Linked DNA regions of Mytilus edulis. The protein of the gene in region 1 interacts with the protein of each later gene in a pairwise test. Links are inferred from orthologs where the notes say so. Each region holds a gene or a part of one and is shown on either strand. Other genes may lie near its edges. The genes, in order: pleckstrin homology domain-containing family F member 2-like and protein SREK1IP1-like.

Region 1 (9,374 bases):
ATCACATCAGATGTAAGAAAAAGAAAATTAAATGACAACATGATTAAGAAGTGCTACAAATGCATATATGCATTCAGCAAATAAAAACTACACATGATACAGATCTTATCAATTTAATGTGTATGTACATGTACCATGTGTACCGGTAACAATTTAAAAAGTAATATTTCTCGTTTTTACATTGTATTAGTTATACAAGTATTGAATGTAAAAAAAGTATCATACACGCTACATGCGCAAGGTGTTGTGATGTACAAATAAACAAGGGCTAAATGTGTTTCCTCGTTTGAAAGCTTTGCATTGCACATAATATAATACATTTTCTGATCAGATGTTTATACATGTACATGTATATCAAAGGTGATCTATGTCTCTAATATTTTATATACATTTTTTTTTTTGTAAAATCTCAAATTAAAAGTACACATTAAAGTAAAAACTAGAAAAGTTTACACTAACATGTCAGCATGGACCCTCCATGCTTTCATTTTTTAGTGTGATTCACATACATTTGTACAAAGCAATTCATGTTCCTGTGGTGTCATTATGGAGAATATTATATGATAATTAGGCTACTTTTTGGCATGTTCATTCAGAAAATCAAAAAGTGTTTTAAATCTGACAAATTCCATCATTCAGATGTTCAATACAAACTACTTTGTCAGATATCAGTTTTGACTTTCATATTTTTCAATTTTGTCTTACAGTGTACATAATGACATTATATATAATTAGGGCCTTTTCTTTCTACATTTAGGGCGAAACAGCAGAAACATCTTTTTGCAAAATTTGTTAATTTTTAACGAAATACTTACATGTACGTAGTGTATAGTAATTTACAAATTTTCACAAAAATGACAATCCTAACCCTGATCATTAATTTAAAACAACCTTTTTTCTTAAAATTTCAGGAATTTTAATGCCATGAACAGCACCTGCATTATATTTTTAAATCTTAAAACATTAATTGAGTGAGAAAGATTAATAAATATAAGGTACATGAAACCTGGCAGACTTACATGTATAGGCGACATGGGGTGGATTTCATGTTGAAATAAGCAGCGTATATCATGGATCAGACTTTTGTGTAAAATAATAAGAACAGACGAAAATAGGAATGTGTTCAAAATATGGAAGTGGGCCTCAGGAAGACGCAACGGTTGGTGCCGCAATGTGGATAAATTTACCAAGTTATTAAACATTTGAAACACCGTAAACGATCTATCATTATCTACGAAAACAGTTATGAAGTTTGTGACCGACAAAATAAAGGTTTTAGATAATACCGAATGGCAAAGTGAACTTTTCAATGATCGTAGACATCAAAATGGCAACAAACTTCGAATGTACAGGTTATTCAAAACTAACAATTTTGCCGAGACATACGTTCTCCAAATTATACCACGCTCGTACAGACGTACTCTAGCCTTGTTCCGCGCCGACACCGTTAGCCATCGAGACTGGCAGGTACACCAGGCCGCCTACAGCACTAGAAAATAGACTTTGTAAATTTTGTTCCTTAACATGCTTAAATAGTGTTGAATCTGAAAAACATTTTCTTTTAAAATGTTCCTTATATGAAGACATTAGGTTTGAACTGTTGGTCGAATGTTCAAAATATATTGACAATTTCTCAATGTTAAATGATGATGTCAAACTTGTTGAAATAATGAAATGTGATATTCAGGGAGAGATCCGTTTGCGCCAAAAATGCTTCCTTTTGCGCCACAACTTTTTTTCTCAAATGCTACGTTTGCCCCACATGTTTTAAAATTAGATGGTTTCATTTGCGCCAAAAATAAAACATACGATTGCGCCAGTTAAAAGAAAATTACTTCCTTACTCCTTTATTCGGACTTAAGCTTGGAACCGGCAGTGTAACACGGCACATGTTTCCTTTTCTGAAACATATGTTTTTATTACTGCTGCTGCATGGGTACTTCCCAATTTAATGTATGTAGTAGCTTTTAACTTCTTTTTATTGTCCAAAAACACAAACATTGAAGGATGAAATCCATAAAATAGTTAATAATAGTTCATAATAATAATAAAGCCCATACGCATGGTGGGAACAAAGCTCTGTGTCATCAACATTTGTGGCTAAAACATAAAGAGCAAAAACTTCTATTTTCTATATTGGCATATCTGTGTTAAGCAAAACAATAAGTTTTATTCTCTCTCTGTACATTGACTGTCTAATGCTGCTTAAGTCATTTAATTCTCTTCAGAAACTCGTCTTTATGGTGAAATATCTCCTAACATGTGATACCTTTTGGGGCAAAAATAAGAATACATATATAGTTATCATTAATATTTATGATAGATATATGTACAGGTAAATTGATGCAAATGAGTTCCGAATATTGGCGCAATTGATACATTTTGAAAATAAAATTTGGCGCAAATGATACCCCTGAAAAACAGTAATTGGCGCAAAAGGACTGCTGCTGATATTAAAAAATGTTTAAGCAAATGTTTACACAAGAGTTTTATGAGACGAAAATTATTTTCTTAATTATTACTAATAACATACTAGTTGTAAAAGTCTATTTTATGATTTTAAAGTCACTGCGATTAATTTATGATAATATAATTACATGTAGATATGCAAATTGTTAATTTTTAGATAAAATTATTTCAAAACTTAAAATATATTTTTTATTCTTTTTTACTTTAAGCACGTTAAGTATTTCCATACTTTTTAAACAGCATTCTTTTTAGATTTTTATTTTTTTACTCAGACAAGTATATATGCTTTTAAATGCATAAATATGTTTTATCTTTTTTTATGATAATTTTATGAATTTTACCGTGAAACTATATTAATTTGTATATAACATGTGTTAAGTGTCTCATAAGTCAAATTTATGACTGGGTATTGATTGTTTTATTGAATACTGTGATTTGTAATAATTGTCAATCAATATGTGACACTATAATAAAATAATTATTTATTTATTTATTTATTATAATGTTTTAGAACAAAACAATTGTTTGGTATTGTCAGCAAGAAAAAATATTAAACACCACCATACAAATCAAATCATTTTATTGGTGTAAAATCCTAATGTTGGATTGTTACCAAGCCAAACATGACAATCATTACAAACATGATACAATATCAAAATTTAAACACCATACATGTACTTTAGAAAAATTGGAAAAACAGTTGAATTGATAAATAAAAAATATTTAAGTTGCTTTAATAAATGAAAATCCTACTTGATTCAAAAGTTTTCAGTGCATGAATGCTCCACTTTAACATTGCATATTGTTTTAAATTCCAGTTTCTGAACAAAACGAACACTTTGATGTGTCATGAATGTACAATGTACATGTATGTGTCATATTGTTATAGTAATTAATGGGAAGTTTACTATACAGAAACTGAAATTAATACATGTACTTCCTAGAATTGTTTTAAAACACTCCTTCCCTGTCGTCTAGATTTTATCTATTTATTGTTTATTTTAAAATGTACTTGCTGTAATACCATTAAGTATTTTATGTACACAGTATGTTATATACATAAAAAACATATTAGAAAAATAATAATTCTGGGGAGATCACTTGAAAATGATGCAGTATTCATAGTCTAGGTCTCGGATCGGTATTCTTATCTTATTTATAAACATGATAAAGTGAAACTAAACTCTTAACTGTTCTATATATAAAAATCATTGTTTGAATGCTAATTTTACGATAATCGATATAATTCATCATCGCGAATTCAAAAACTTTGTAAAACTGCTTCCTAACAATCAATTTATTATTCTTCCGGACTTCTGAATAACAGTGAGCAATATTTCTAAGTAGCAACCCACCCAATCGGTCTACCATGTTGACAAATGACAGCTCAACGATGTGCAACATATGAAAAATCTATCGAGACGTCTAAAATAAAATCAGTCGACGTGAAAGAGAATGTACAAAATTCGGAAAGTTTCTATGAATACAAAAAAGAAGATACCTTATTTCCAGCGGGGCCTTTTTATGACGAGACTTTGAGTTAACACCAAAGATTGACACGTAGAAATACAAACAAAAATTAAAGCCTCAGCATAATTGATAAAACAAAATCACTGTTAAAGATGGCTTTAAATTTGTCCATCAAATTTTTTTTCGCTGACTTGTACTTCACTGAAATTATATTTATTCAGAGCAATTGTAATTCGTTTCTGGTAGCGAATTCCAGTCTTTCTTTACACCAAATAAGGCGGTGGTGGATTCACACCCTTTATTTCCTAGTATATGAAAGTTTTTACTATCATATACTAGATCTTGTATTGAATGTTTTATTTCTAACAAAATAAGTAATAACTATATGCAAATAATTTGTGCATATATTGCTTTAAATATAGAAAACATGATTGAGACTTAGTTGTTTGACTCTATTCCTGATATTAAAAAAAGAACTATTTCTCAAATTCAATGTATATATATGTTACACTCCGTTTCAGGAATGTAGCTTCAGAAAAAATCTCACAGTCTCAGTTTGTGCCACTTGAAGTTTATTTTTCATTTGTTTTGATAATTACCTTCAGATCAGCATACTTATAGTCAAAATAACATATTGGATCAGAGAAGAGCACAGTGTTTTCCAAGCGGAGCGAGGCAAAAAAAATTTGGCGAGGGCTCAAGGCCCCCAGAAGCTCTGAGAAAAATAACGCAAAATCGTGCATTCTGAGCGTTTCCCGCACTCTTTCTGACATTGAAACGCAATTAATTTTTTAGCTTTTTTTCAACAATATATTGGTCTGAAAGCAAAAACATAGATTCATTGTAATTTAAGACTTTAAGATTTTATGGACAACATTAAAAGACCGATATATAGGACAAAGCAAAATTCGTAATTCTCAAAATCATTAATTCCGGATCTCTCTGTCTGATTGTCTGATTTAGTCTTGTATTGTGCTTAGACTTTGGTGATATTTTTATGACTAGATTGAAATATAGTGACAGTGCAGTATTATGCTTTAAATACTAGTACTGCTTAAGTCGACACTCGGGACCATCTTGACCCTGTTTTACGGTATTAATGATTCTTTTATTTTTTGAAGACCCTCCAGCAACTTTGACCAATTGATTGATCATTAGTATTTTTTTATGCATTGACTTTGTGTGCGATTAGGTTTCGTGTACATTTACTCCATATTCCTTTGTTTTCTGTAAAAGGGTCTGAACATTACTTAATGCAAGTTTAACCCATCAGTGGAAATGGTCATATGGCAATACATTACTGTTTTTTTTTTCAAATAATTTGATACTGGAAAATTGGTGACCTAACTTTAATTTAAACCATGTCAGCTATCTAGTTTTATCAACGAAAAGAAACCAGTTGTGAATTCTTTGATATCAAATTCAATTCTCCATGCAGAAACGACAATTTTTTTCTGTGTCTTGTATATTCTTAAAACATTTTCTCGCACAATATCTGGACATCGGTGGGCATGCAACATTGCAAAACCGCACGCTTACAAATGAAAATCAACACTCAGACTATTGTGATAAAGTAGGACAATAAATGAGCAAAAGACAAACTCGGGACACAGAAGTTCAAACAATAGACTGTCAACTATGAAAACTCAAAGTAAAAAAGAAACATGGATCACGGAAAACATGCAGGGGCGACACCAGAGAGCGAAGAGAACTTGCTTCTTGTTAGACACTTTCCGTGAAAACAATTTGATTTTAAAACAATCTTTTGTTTAATTTTTTTTTTTTTTAATTTCTAGCATGAGGCATTTGCCTCATTTGCCTCAAGGTAGTTACGGCCCTGCCATGTCTCTGTACAAATCGCTATTTTCTCACAGCCGATAGAAAAGCACCTATAAGAGAATATTTTGCAGGAGCCGGCAAAATTAAATAGCCACTTCTTGTTATAAGGACTTATAAACTGGTTAAACATGTTAAAAGATCCGTTCCGTAATGGAGACATAACCACATCCGTCATTTCGTTCGAGTAGTATTATGATCCAAAATTTTGGAAGAAAAATAATTAGATTTCATCAAAATCGTTGCTTCAAATATTGAATTTTCAATTGTTTGTTCATCCTTGATTTCATAGTCGTTCATTTGATATATAAAATATTTTTCCCGGTGAAATAGAAATAAAAATATATTAATTTGCATGTGGATCACCACGCCTATCAAATCATATGATAATCGACAAACTAACTTGAAAATGGTTTCGTGTCCTATTTGTGGACCAAAGCTGTCCATTTGTTGTACAGTACTTAGTATTTGGGGTGTTGTTATGTTGGTTAGTATTTGAGTAAAGTCGTTGATAATCAAAATTGAAAAAAAAATTAATGTAAACAAATGCTAAACCAGTTTGAAACTGAAATCTTCGTGCGTGCATCCCGTTGGCATTGAAACCATAAACTTACAGGCACTTGTTTCTATCCATTGGAAGACCCAATATCAACGTATATTTACGTTGATAGTGGGTCCTTCCATGGATAGAAACAAGTGCCTATGCAACTAGCCCTGCAGCGTACTTACTCAGATTCAGACGACAGACTGCCATATAATATAATAATATCATGATATCTTCCTTATCATGCTTATGTATGTATGAACTGGTAAATTCCTCAAAGAACCCCTCGAAAGCTGGGAGGGTACAATGGAATCCATGTACACTCCCTATAGGGATTAATTTAGATGTGTCACTATCGTATAATAACAATTTTTTATAAGGACAATCCATCCCCACCCAACACAAACGGAGGGCAAGGACACCAGGAAGCCTGGTATTATGTGGAGGAAGTCAAAGTACTTGGAGAGAACCATAGGGCCACTCGATGGAAACAGACAAACAGACCTGCCAACTTTCCTGATTTTGGCGGTATCGTCCCAATTTTCATGCCTTAACCTGAATCCCGATATCGGGATCGTAAAACAAGCCATAAACTTGATTTTCACCAAATTTACCTAAAAAATAATATTAGTTAATGATTTTGAAGTTTTTCTGATCAATTTCCATAAATCTATAATTTTACCTGGCGACATATTTATGACCCCACACTTATCACCAATCACAACAGGTGTCATTATTTGTTTGTTTCAAGTAATCCTCTTATCTGATTGGTCATAAAAATCTTTTAAATTAATCATAATTTGTAAACAGAATCGGTCAGTCGGCATTTCATCATCATACAATCACAAATTTGCAACGTTAACCGTAGTTTCATGACACAATCGTAATTAACTGAAAGACGAAAACTGTGATTAACTCATAAGAAAGCAGCGTTTATTCTGAAATCCATTTAAAATTTAAAAGCTGTATCAAGCTTGTCCGTCGGAACAAGTACAATTATTCTGCAGAAAATAAATTTAATCCAACTTTGATGAACAAAGTAATTTATTATAAACAAAAAACAAGAAAACAAATATTAATTTGACATGTTTCTGTATTCTGTTTATCATGTTTATTCAAATGCAAAACCTTTTTCTTCAACATGTTAACTTGCAATCGATAATTTATAACTGGTTCATTGTCAGGTACTTTTTAACAGATAAAAGGTATACTATTCTGGAAACCAGTCTTACTGATCTGAATCAATGATGGGGTTACACTAAAGACCTGAAAGTGGACCTGAAAAGACCTGAAAATATACTACTAAAAGTATTCAAATTGCAATAACTTTTTTTTTATTGGATGGAATTTCTTCAAGTTGGAATTTTACTAATTGCAAATATCCATATTTCATTTAACAATGTTTTAAATTTAAACTTTTTAAAATAAAAACAAATTTTTGATGTCAAAAGTTGGACCTGAAGCTTAAGGGAGAAATGAAAAGACCTGAAGGGACCGGAAAATCTATGGTCGGACCAATTCTAACTTCTAAAAAATAGTTTACAAAGAAATGCTGAAAAAATTGTAACCCTTAAAATTTGGTCGCGCCCTGAATCCCCCATGGTCATTTTCAAAAGTTGGCAGGTCTGGACAAACCTGAAAGATATCAGAAAATTGATCTCCAGGTCAAAGAAGGGGACATACTTGACCAACCAAGGCCCCAAATTAAAATGCCTAGTCTAGTTTAAACTCTCGTCTGGTTACTAGAGAAGTGTGTGGGAGGGTAAAATCACCATTGTGATGCACTGAAATTTCTAGCACATCAAGTCAGAATAGAATCCAGTACCTTCAGCACTGTAGCCATTGGTCTTAACCACTAGACCACAAACCCCCTACCTCAACTGTCAGTGGACATGTCCATTTCATTAACCAAACAACTATTTTTTATGCCCCACCATCATGTATGATAGTAAAATATGTCTGTAATAACTGAAGGGTGTTGTCACAGCTTCTCTATCAATGCATGTCTATATCACTCTAAATTTAAGGCATTTCCTTAGACATAGATCATACTTACCAATGTATTTTATTTTAAGAAATAATGACCAGAGCATGTAATGAGGTTCTGCCCAAGCTTTCCAGTAATTCCCAATTGCAAGTGTCTCATATAATAAGTTACATTCTTTTAATAACTAAGCCTTGTTATTACAGCTAAGTTTATCACTTAAAAGCTTCGTCTCATTGATTTATCATGGTTAATAAAAAATGTATTACTGTGAAAGTATTTTTATTCGTGTGGAACAAATTTTTGTGGCTTTCGTGGATGACTTTATCCACAAGGTTAAGTGTCCAACGAAATAAAACAACCGTTGTCCAAAATCAAGACCTGGAAATATTTCCATGTTGTTATGACTTCTGATATGATCTAGAGAATACATGTATTGAATATCGCCAAATCTGAGAATACTTAAATAGTAGTCACAGGGCAAACGCACTATAAACTACAACTATGAATTTACTTTTAATCATCCCTGACAAGTGCCATAAACAGAAGACAGATCAAATTATTGATACATATTACCTGTTTATTGTTTAATCAAACTATTATCACTTGTTAATTAGCTGCCATCCAAGTTAAAATCTATTGCAATTTCATAATCTGGTACATATTGTCTGTATTATACAGGATATGTTTGCTACACTCTTTTTTTAACATGTTTAATGTCATCAAAGACAGTTCTAAACATCGTAGAAAATGGGATTATTGTACTCCCTTCGGGATCCTGAGTTTCACATGTATGTAAGTCTTTACAAAATCCGAATCTGCCTACTGTGGTTAGACATGATAGAGTTTCTGTTTCTCTAAGTATTGTAGTAATTTATACATTTTGGCACATCACAATTGAAAAATCTGATTATGACTTTATTAATTAGATGGCACTCTAACAAGGACCATGATGAATGATTTGCTGTAGTGACTTTACCAGGGTTCCTGATATAATGAATAATTCTGGCAAAATTTCATCATTTCATATTAACATGATTAAGAAAATTGGCGGTTCAAATTGTCAGTGGC
Region 2 (9,572 bases), on another chromosome or scaffold:
CCCTTAATATCAGATGCTCTAATAAGATAAAAATAATGTCAGCTCCTCCACCATTCTAGCTTTGTGTTGGCAGGGACAATTGTTAGTATGTCTAATGAAAGATTTTTTGTCTATTGGAAAAAATATCAAGTTGGAAACAAAGTCTGTACTTTGAAAAATGAACTTTTTGCAAACATCTGAAGGAGACATGAGTACATATACTTAATTTAGTTGTGCAGTTGCCATTCTTATATGACATTGATAAAAGGTAAGTTAGGGAAACTGGTTCCTTATTCTCTTATTCCTTCTATCTATGTTTTGTCTATTTAAAGCATTGGTTTCAGTATTTTAAATTATTTACCTGTGCTTTATTAATTTTTGGTGGATATAATGGTCTGTCAGTACCGTCTGTTTCACAATCATTTAGTTTAATCATGTTATATACAGTATTACCAGTAACCTATAAATGACAGAAATAAATAAATTTAAATGCTATCTATAAAAATTTAAGATGACTTATCTGCAATACACAGATACTATACCATTAAAGGACTATTGTAAAAAGCTAAATCTCTAGGATGTAAATACTAAACTAAAAAAGAACAAGCCATAGTGATCATATTTTTGTATATCAAGCATCTTGGTTACTACTACAGATATTAATTACAAAAAACTATAGATCTAGATGTTTAGATGATGTTTTATTCCATGCCATATTATGTTCTGCATTGTATCAAACAAACTAATTTTAAATTTGTATTGGTCTAGCTCCTTGTTGTAAGTCCAAAGAATGGCATGTAACTAATCTAGACATTTTATTCTGAATCTAAGTCAATTTTAATATGAAATGATATGTGTTTAGTGAAGAAGGCAAATAATATTGCTATAGTCCTTGATTTGAACCAACTTAGATAATTCCTACAATTTCCTGTACTAGAGAATAACATGTTACTATAGACCATTGAAGTGTTAATTAATAATCATGACTCTTTAATGTTTTTAATTTTAAGATAAACTATTTGTAGTTTTGTCAGTGGCAATATCTTTGCTGTAAAGCTATTTGTTTATATCTGCATGCTTTTTTTGTTCTCTTCATTAAAAAGAAATAATATGTCAAAATTAGATGCATTCAATGAGTTAGAATAAGAAAATTGAAAATTATTTATAATATCTTTAGACTTTAGAAGCATTTTCTCTTCTTCTGACAATGATCTGTTTTAACACATCAACTGGAAATATAACCCCAATAAACTAAGGCTTGCGTACACATATAATTCATAATTGTGTATTTTAAGAACTTTTATTGACAACCCAAAACAGAAACTACATGTATAATAAATCTTACTTTTCCAAAAATGGTGTGTTTACTTTGCAGCTCTGGTGTTTTGTCCAAAGTGAAAAAGAACTGACTACCATTGTCATTCGGCCCTGCATTTGCCATGGCAACCAGTCCTCTTCTAACAAAACGAAGTCTTGAATGAATTTCATCCTGAAACAAATCAAAAGTCATTATTGATTACAAAACAGTTGGCAAGTGTTAGATTATATGTTTTATATTGTTTCCTTATGATGTTTATTGTGACATGAAACATATTAATATCATGAAACATGTACGATGTAAGTTTTTAATTTAGTTGATTACTGAAACAATCTTAAGGAAACAAAGTCAACATACATGTATGTAACATGTTGAAAACGCCTTTTGATTATCATGATTATATTCTTTTAATACACAAAATCTTGCAAATAAAACTTAAAGTTGATGATGTTTGTAAATTCATCAGTATTTGTACACCATTATAATTTATATTAAAAACCTAATCTATAATTATGTGTTTTTTTGTTTTTTTTAAATTTTAAAGCATCTATATCAAACACATTCTCTATTTGACAATAAACAAATGAAATAATCAGTTTTATAGGGAATCACTGAAGCATGACTGGACCAGCCCCCCCCCCCCTTTTTAGGTCAGTCAACAGGCCCTCCCTTACAAAAAGTTCTGGATCTGCCACTGATTTATACGAAAAACATTATCTATTATGTGTTGTTTTTTTTAATTTTAAAGCATCTATATACCAAACACATTCTCTATTTGACAATAAACAAACGAAATAATCAGTTTTTATTCAATATATATATGTAAAACTGACTGAAGATGTAAAACACTTTACCTTAAATGGATGACCATAAATAGATTCACCACCATCTCCAGTGCCTGATGGGTCCCCTCCTTGTGCAATGAAATCCTTGATAATGCGATGGAAAATTGTATCCTCATAATATCCCTCCATACACAACTGAACAAAGTTTCGACATGCTTTAGGGGCTTCCTTCGACCATAATTCTATGTCAATGTCTCCTACACTTGTATCTAATAGAACCTACAAATAGATTTAACATAATACAGATGGTCATGTTCATGTGAATCAAGTTGAAACAGATTAAACATTGAGACTCTCAACTAGGCAAGCTTTTCTACATTGTTTGAACATAAAATTATATGAGGCTTCACATACAAGTACATGTACATGTAATATAGTCTAATAACCTTCTTTTTTATATCTACTTATCTCAAAGAACAAGGTTTGTGCTCCTTCTTTTATCACAATTCTTAGATGAGATATACTTCTGATTAAACCTAATTTCATTAACTAATGTTTTCTTTTTCTCAGCTACATTATATTCACTAGCTCAAGTAGTTATGCGCTAAGTAACAGATGAAAATATATTTTCAATACTTGAATGGAATGGAAAAGTTTTATTATAAAACATATGATATGTGCATAAACTTTCTTGTAAATGAACATCCTAATCTTCATACATGTACATGTCATAGCTAACTGCTATTTATTTATTGTCGTGTTCCAATACTCAAATTTGATTACAGCTTTTCTGTATGGAGTGACCTTAACCATGAGCCGTTTATATTAACTTCTACAACCAATGAGCACAAGTGTGATGGAAAAACCTGCACTGACAGAAATCGTTTATTGCATGATATCATTATAATGTCATTAATGATTGTTCAAGTGTACCAAGTTGTTTATTCAATAATGAAAAAGTATTTTCAATTCTTTTTACACTAGAGACATTTTTATCTTGTTGTTGTTCAAATGAAACAAGTCAAAGGTATTTGCTGTTAGAAATCAAATTTTTCCAGGAAAAAGAACCTCTTATTATGCTATCAGGTAGGATAATTAGAAATAAATATTAACAAATAGAATATCTCCATTTTGAAGATCATGTATTGGTACATTCTAAAATTTTGAATTAATGAGAACCGATTTAAAAACAAAAGTTGGAATATGCTACAGGTGTCGCCACTCTTAAAAAAATATTTGTAAATTTGAATCTGTCCAAAGAAAGACCACTTAACTCGTCAAGAACATAAATCATTTAAGTTTTGAAGATAGGTTACGTTCATTGAGCTTATTTACTTAATCACCATCTTATTATAATGTTACAAAATGTATACGAAAGGTCACTCCTTAAAAAACTTTTTAAGAAACATTGTAAGACAACACATACTGACATAGACTAAATACTTTTTCAATTAGAGTAGTGGATCAGTGGAATAACCGGTCTGATTTAACAGTGACGGCAAAGACCTTGAATAATTTTAAGTCAGTTAAATGGCAAAAATTGGAACCTGTATCAATTTATATGTTCCTGTCAATTGTTAACCCTCTTACTGCCAGTTGTTTTTCAAGGTTGCATTTCATGTGCCAGAAAATACGACCGCTGGATGTTTGTGACCTCAGATGTCCAAACACGACGTCATCTGATACAAAATGTATATGACATCACGACAAGATGACCGTTACATTCAGGTCCCATTGAAATTTGAAGACAAATATAACCTTGTCAAATATTTGATCTTTTATTTGAAAAAGATACAACAATGAGGAGAAGCTTGCATAAATTAAAACATGGACACCTAAATAAATTTTATTTTTTTTATAATACATGTATATATAAAACCTGCCAAGTCTCACGCATGTGTGTGCTTTTTTTTTTGGCATTTTCTTTTGATCTACATGTATTGTTTTTTCTCTTTGATCTTTTCAATTTTGACAAAATCTTACACATTTGCTTCACGAAAAGTTGGCAGAACTGTAAAACTATTCTAATTTTTCTCCTTGTCATTATGCAATTATTATACAATGAGAAATTGCATTATGACCATGATGACAAAATTTTTAAAAACTTTAAAAGGCAACCAGAGGAAGCAAGTAAATATCTTGGAGTAACCATCAGTAACAACCTAACATGGGATAAACACATAGACAATACAGTAGGCAAAGGAAACAGAACTTTGGGGTTTATACGTAGAAACCTCAAAGGCTGTACAAAACCTGTAAAGGCAGCTGCATATGTGTCCATGGTAAGACCTGCAGTGGAATATGCAAGCACAGTATGGGACCCAACCGCTCAAAATAAAATCAAGGCAATTGAACAGGTTCAGAAAAGAGCTGCACGAATTTGTGAATAACAACTACACAGACCGAACACCTGGCTGTGTCACAAATATGGTTAAAAATCTAAAGTGGGAAAGCCTCGAAGAACGGAGGAAAACAAATAGATTGTGCATGCTATTCAAGATCCAGCATGAACTTATAGATATAGACCGTCACAAATATTTGACACCGAATGATAACCGGACCAGAGGTAAAAACCGCTTCTTCCAAGAAAGAACAAGTACAGACACCTACGGCCAATCTTTCTTCCCGAGGACAATCAGGGACTGGAACAACCTACCAACGACAGTTACAGCGACCAACACCGTTGAGGGATTCAGAGCTGCCCTGAAGGCATGCTCTGAAAGGAAGTAGGAAAACCAGTTGTAAATAATTTTAATTGTATATTTTTCTGCGAACGTTTTAAATGTAATTTGTAAATAGCCAAGAGAAATCTTTCTGTGTTGCCCGACACTGCGTAAAGTTTTCGTGCGGAACCATTAACATTCAGCAATGAATCTGGTTCCTTACCTGGAAGAAGAAGAAGAACCTCAATCAAGCATGCACCAGAATGTAATCTTCAAAATGTTGATGGTTTTCTGTAACTAAAGAAGAAGGAGAAGAAGAAGAAGACATTCCAAGATGAGGTGTCAGTAAAATTCATTGGCTTAAAATATACAGATAGAAAGATAGTAAAACAGCTGTTGTTATTGATATTGTCAACTGTCTGCTGGAGTTATAATATAGCAAGACTGTTTACTTTTTTTTTAAACAGCAAAGTAAAACACTAATTTTCTACCTTTCCGCTCGTAGGCGGTTCTTGTATATAAATATTGCTCATAGCCTGTCAAACAAAAACAAACTAGACCATTAATTTGAAATGTCAATGGGCGCAGCCATTTTGTTTAGGTCTAACTAAAAGATAAAATAGTAAATGATGTATTTGTATAATAAACTAAGAATTTCATATTCAAATTCATAATATTCATTATATTTGATTATTTATGGGATTTTTTAAACAGAATGTAATTTCGTAATAATCATGGAAAGTTAATGTTGATTTTCTTTTAGTTTTGACTTGAATGATACCAGATTATCTCCCTTAGGTACCTAACCAAAAAATTTAGACCATTCCGCAGTTTTACGATTTATGACACAATGCAAGGTAAACAAAGAAAGACAAATTTGATACAACTTGTTCATGACAGGAATCAAATAATAAACTGGATTGAATCATTTTTGTCAAACAGAACACAAACAAAAACAGTAGTCAGTACTTTTAGAAAGAGTCATCTTTAAAAATTATACCAGTCACATGATCAGGTGTCACACTGGGTACAGTGCTAGGACCAATACTATTCTAATTTACATAAACGACCTCCCAAAATACATCCAACATAGTAAAATCCGACTCTTCGCAGATGACAGTAATAATGAGTATATGAATAGGTAGTGTATGTACGTACCTGCATGTGAGGTATGCGTAGCCAAATTGGCCTTTGTAGGCTACGGCTACGCACACCCGCCTCCAGTTTTATAATTTAATGTCATCGGATCAGGAATAAATTGTAAAATTAACTCAGAAAACATCGCAATAAGTGAGAGAATAAATTGATTACTCACAGAGATTTTAAGATTTGAAATGTCAATATATATGAAAAAAAAAGTTCTACGCCTATTATTATTTTACGACGTACCGTGATACACTTTCGTAAAAATATGCATTTATATTTGATTTCTATTTTTCTAACTAATACATTAAAAACAATTTAAAAAATATTATTTGCTATTATCTTCACAGAATTCACAAAATCAGAAAAATAACCAATAATTTTTGTGTATCTTTCACGTTGCTTTCCCAATCATATGACACTTTCTTATAAAATCGGTTGCGGGTACACATAGCCTAAAAAGGCCAATTTGGCTAAGTGTATCCGTATGCAGGTACTCGCAGACAGGCGCAGACACTGCCATATATAAATAAAACATTGGACGATAGAGCAGATTGGGATACAACTAAAAGTTAAATCAGCACCCACAGAAAAAGTCAAATTGGCACCTTGTTAAATCGACATCTGGTTAAAAATAGGCACCCATTTAAAGTCAATTTGGCATCCAATGACAGATTGTTACCAAAGAATACAGTGTCAATCACTACCAAGCCAAGATTGACAATGCTTTTTTGAGGGTTACCAATCTGCTCTATCATCCTCTCACTATGTGTTACATGTATTTAATTTATTATGCTTAAGTTAATGTCCTATCATTATTGTCTAACAGATGAATTTTATTTAAAAGTATTTTCTAATCCATGAGGTCACATACATTATAACAACTTTGCGGGTATTTGAAAAATCATCAAAAGTGAAGCAAGATATTTTTTTTTTATTATAAAATAATGATATAATCTATCGACAAATAAAATCTCTATTAACATGTTGAAAGAAGTCCCTTCGGGTTTTCAATAATAAATAGCAGGCAAGATATTCCAATCTTTTAGGTCTTATTATTTGATTTTAATCTTTGACTGACATGACTGATGCCTTATCAACATTATTTTTTTTAAAACTTTTAGGCATAGGCAGCAAATACACCAATAAAAATGATGGACTTAAACCAGCCTGTAAAAAATGTGGATATGGTATGTATAGCAGATTGTATTGTATTTAATACTGAAGAGTCTTTATATGGGATACCAAATTTTATGGAATTTGTGGGTAAATGCAAGGATTTGTAAACTAATCCTTGGTATTGGTAAAACAAACTTTTTCATGTTTAACAAAGTACAAATATTCTAAAGGCTTGTAATAAGACATTGCAAAAACCTTGAAATCAAATACCACTATATATTATTTTTACTATAGTATCAACAAAAATAAATAAATTCACAGTATTCAGCTGTGTACCATTTAACAGCATAGGCAAGTTACTATATCTTTTAAAACTTCATGATAATCATGAAATAATGTAGTTTGTTTATTGCTATATACATTCCTCACTTGCATGATCTTTGTTTTTAATTTGTCACACTGCTCCCACTTGCGACATCTCAATTCACAAGTCTTTAATTGACAATGTGGATTGTTCTGGTTTATTTTTTATGCCCCACCTACGATAGTAGAGGGGCATTATGTTTTCTGGTCTGTGTGTCCGTCCGTCTGTCCCGCTTCAGGTTAAAGTTTTTGGTCAAGGTAGTTTTTGATGAAGTTTAAGTCCAATCGACTTCAAACTTAGTACACATGTCCCCTATGATATGATCTTTCTAATTTTAATGCCAAATTAGAGTTTTTACCCCAATTTCACGGTCCACTGAACATGGAAAATGATAGTGCGAGTGGGGCTTTCGTGGACTGAGGACACATTCTTGTTTTAAAATATTCAGGCATTATTTAATTTTTATTAAAATTGAATGATTTTTTTTTTATCTAAATAACTGTCTACTTACTTCTATTGAGCTATTATATAGAAAAAATAGTTAATTGAGCAGTTGAGACATTATAGCATTCTTATTTCCGTATCATAAGACGTGCAGTGTAATGGAAATCTTTTACCAGCCATGACTATTTCATTCCTATTCCTTTAAGTATAATTATGTTTTCTTTTTATGCCTCAACCGTAGGCAACATGGGCATTAATTGTTACCCTTGACTATCCCTCTGTCCATCTGTCAGTCCTTTTGTCTGACCCATTTTTGTTTTACCACTCTTGGTTATGTTTTCCTCATCCAAACTTTCTGAAAGTCATACATGGTGCTAAAAACCAAAAGTGGCAGACAGAGATCAAATTTGATCACAGAGTCATTTACAGTTAGTTATGCCCTTTTATAAGTATAACTTGGAAATGCAAGTCTGTTCATGTTCGCACTCTAACTTAAGTTTGCCTCATCCAAATTTTAAGAAAATCATTGGTAGTCCAGTCAATCTAGCATACATAAGTTTTAATCTTTAGCATTATACCCCAAATATACACAGAAAAAAGTCCTATAAAATATAACTTGTGGAAAACTAAAAAATCATGATTTTAAAATTCCTATGGAGATTTGCGTTCATATGGGAGATAACTCTGCAAAAATGCAGAAATATCAATAAAGATTGATAAAAAGTTATAACTTTACCGCTTCTATTCAACAGAATGTATTGATTCTTGATATTTGAGTCATCTTTAGAGTATAACAAAGAACTCTTAAGGTATTATCATATCTTTTATCAAGCTAGAACCTAGACTTCATAATTAAATAGTTGACCATTTATTAGATTTTTCAGCATGTTAAGGTAAAGAATCTCAAATTGAATAATAAAACTAATTAAGCATATATTCCTCTTTTTGTGGTTTAAAGTTTCTATGAACAAGGTAGATGCTGAACAAATATAATTTACAGATAGAAATAATACCAAATATTCATTTTTTCAAAATGGTCACTAGGCCATAAATTTGCAATTTTTTTAATGAAAATGTGCAAAAAGAATTAAAAAAATATGCATAGCACTTCGGTTTTGTACATTTCATGAGCAGAAGATTATATAATATAGTCAAATACGAAGTTATAACTCCATCAAAGTATCATATATTACATGAATTTTAAGAAAATCAAACAAAAACTGACATAAAAGTCTCATTTTTGCTGAGTTATCTCCCTTTCCAATGTTAATTTCTATAAGAAATTAAAAATGCAAAATTTGAGTTTTCCTCAAATTAGATTTTATGGGACTTCTTTCTGTATATATTTGGGGCTAAATGCTATAGATTAGAATTAAAGCATTTTCTGTTGCAATTAGTTTGAGGTTCAAACTTAGTTTGACTGGACTAAAGGTATTGCTGATCATTGCTGAAAACCACAACACGCAGAGTTTAAATTCTGGCAATATTTCATTAACCTTTCTAGAGTTATACCCCTTTATACTTTGGAAAATTGTAAATATTTTAATTTACTCACTCTAGGTAAGTTTTTATTTAACATGCAGACTAAGTTCTAATTTGGGCAGTGAGTCATTAAACGTTTTGATAATTGAAAATTGCAAAGCTTGAGCAAGGGCATTCATGTCCTTAGAATGCTTAGACAAAATTTCTTATTTTATTTTCATTATGTTTTTTAGCTGGACATCTAACATTTCAGTGTCGTAACTTTGTGAAGGCAG

What was found.
Region 2: the proteins of pleckstrin homology domain-containing family F member 2-like (region 1) and protein SREK1IP1-like interact in a two-hybrid assay, tested with the Caenorhabditis elegans proteins (2 studies listed by BioGRID). The link is inferred for Mytilus edulis from reciprocal best matches to the Caenorhabditis elegans genes ZK632.12 and C13F10.7.

Annotation. Positions count from the first base shown.
Region 1 is NC_092350.1:31,052,411-31,061,784, reverse strand, and holds the start of pleckstrin homology domain-containing family F member 2-like, read right to left. Parts: upstream 3,929-9,374; 5' UTR 3,874-3,928; coding exon 3,825-3,873; intron 1-3,824. Other genes in the region: ribonuclease kappa-A-like, read left to right, coding at 6,131-6,262.
Region 2 is NC_092344.1:100,219,922-100,229,493, reverse strand, and holds the start of protein SREK1IP1-like, read left to right. Parts: upstream 1-5,512; 5' UTR 5,513-5,595; coding exon 5,596-5,602; intron 5,603-7,012; coding exon 7,013-7,078; intron 7,079-9,530; coding exon 9,531-9,572. Other genes in the region: spliceosome-associated protein CWC27 homolog, read right to left, coding at 341-439, 1,325-1,468, 2,152-2,361, 5,237-5,278.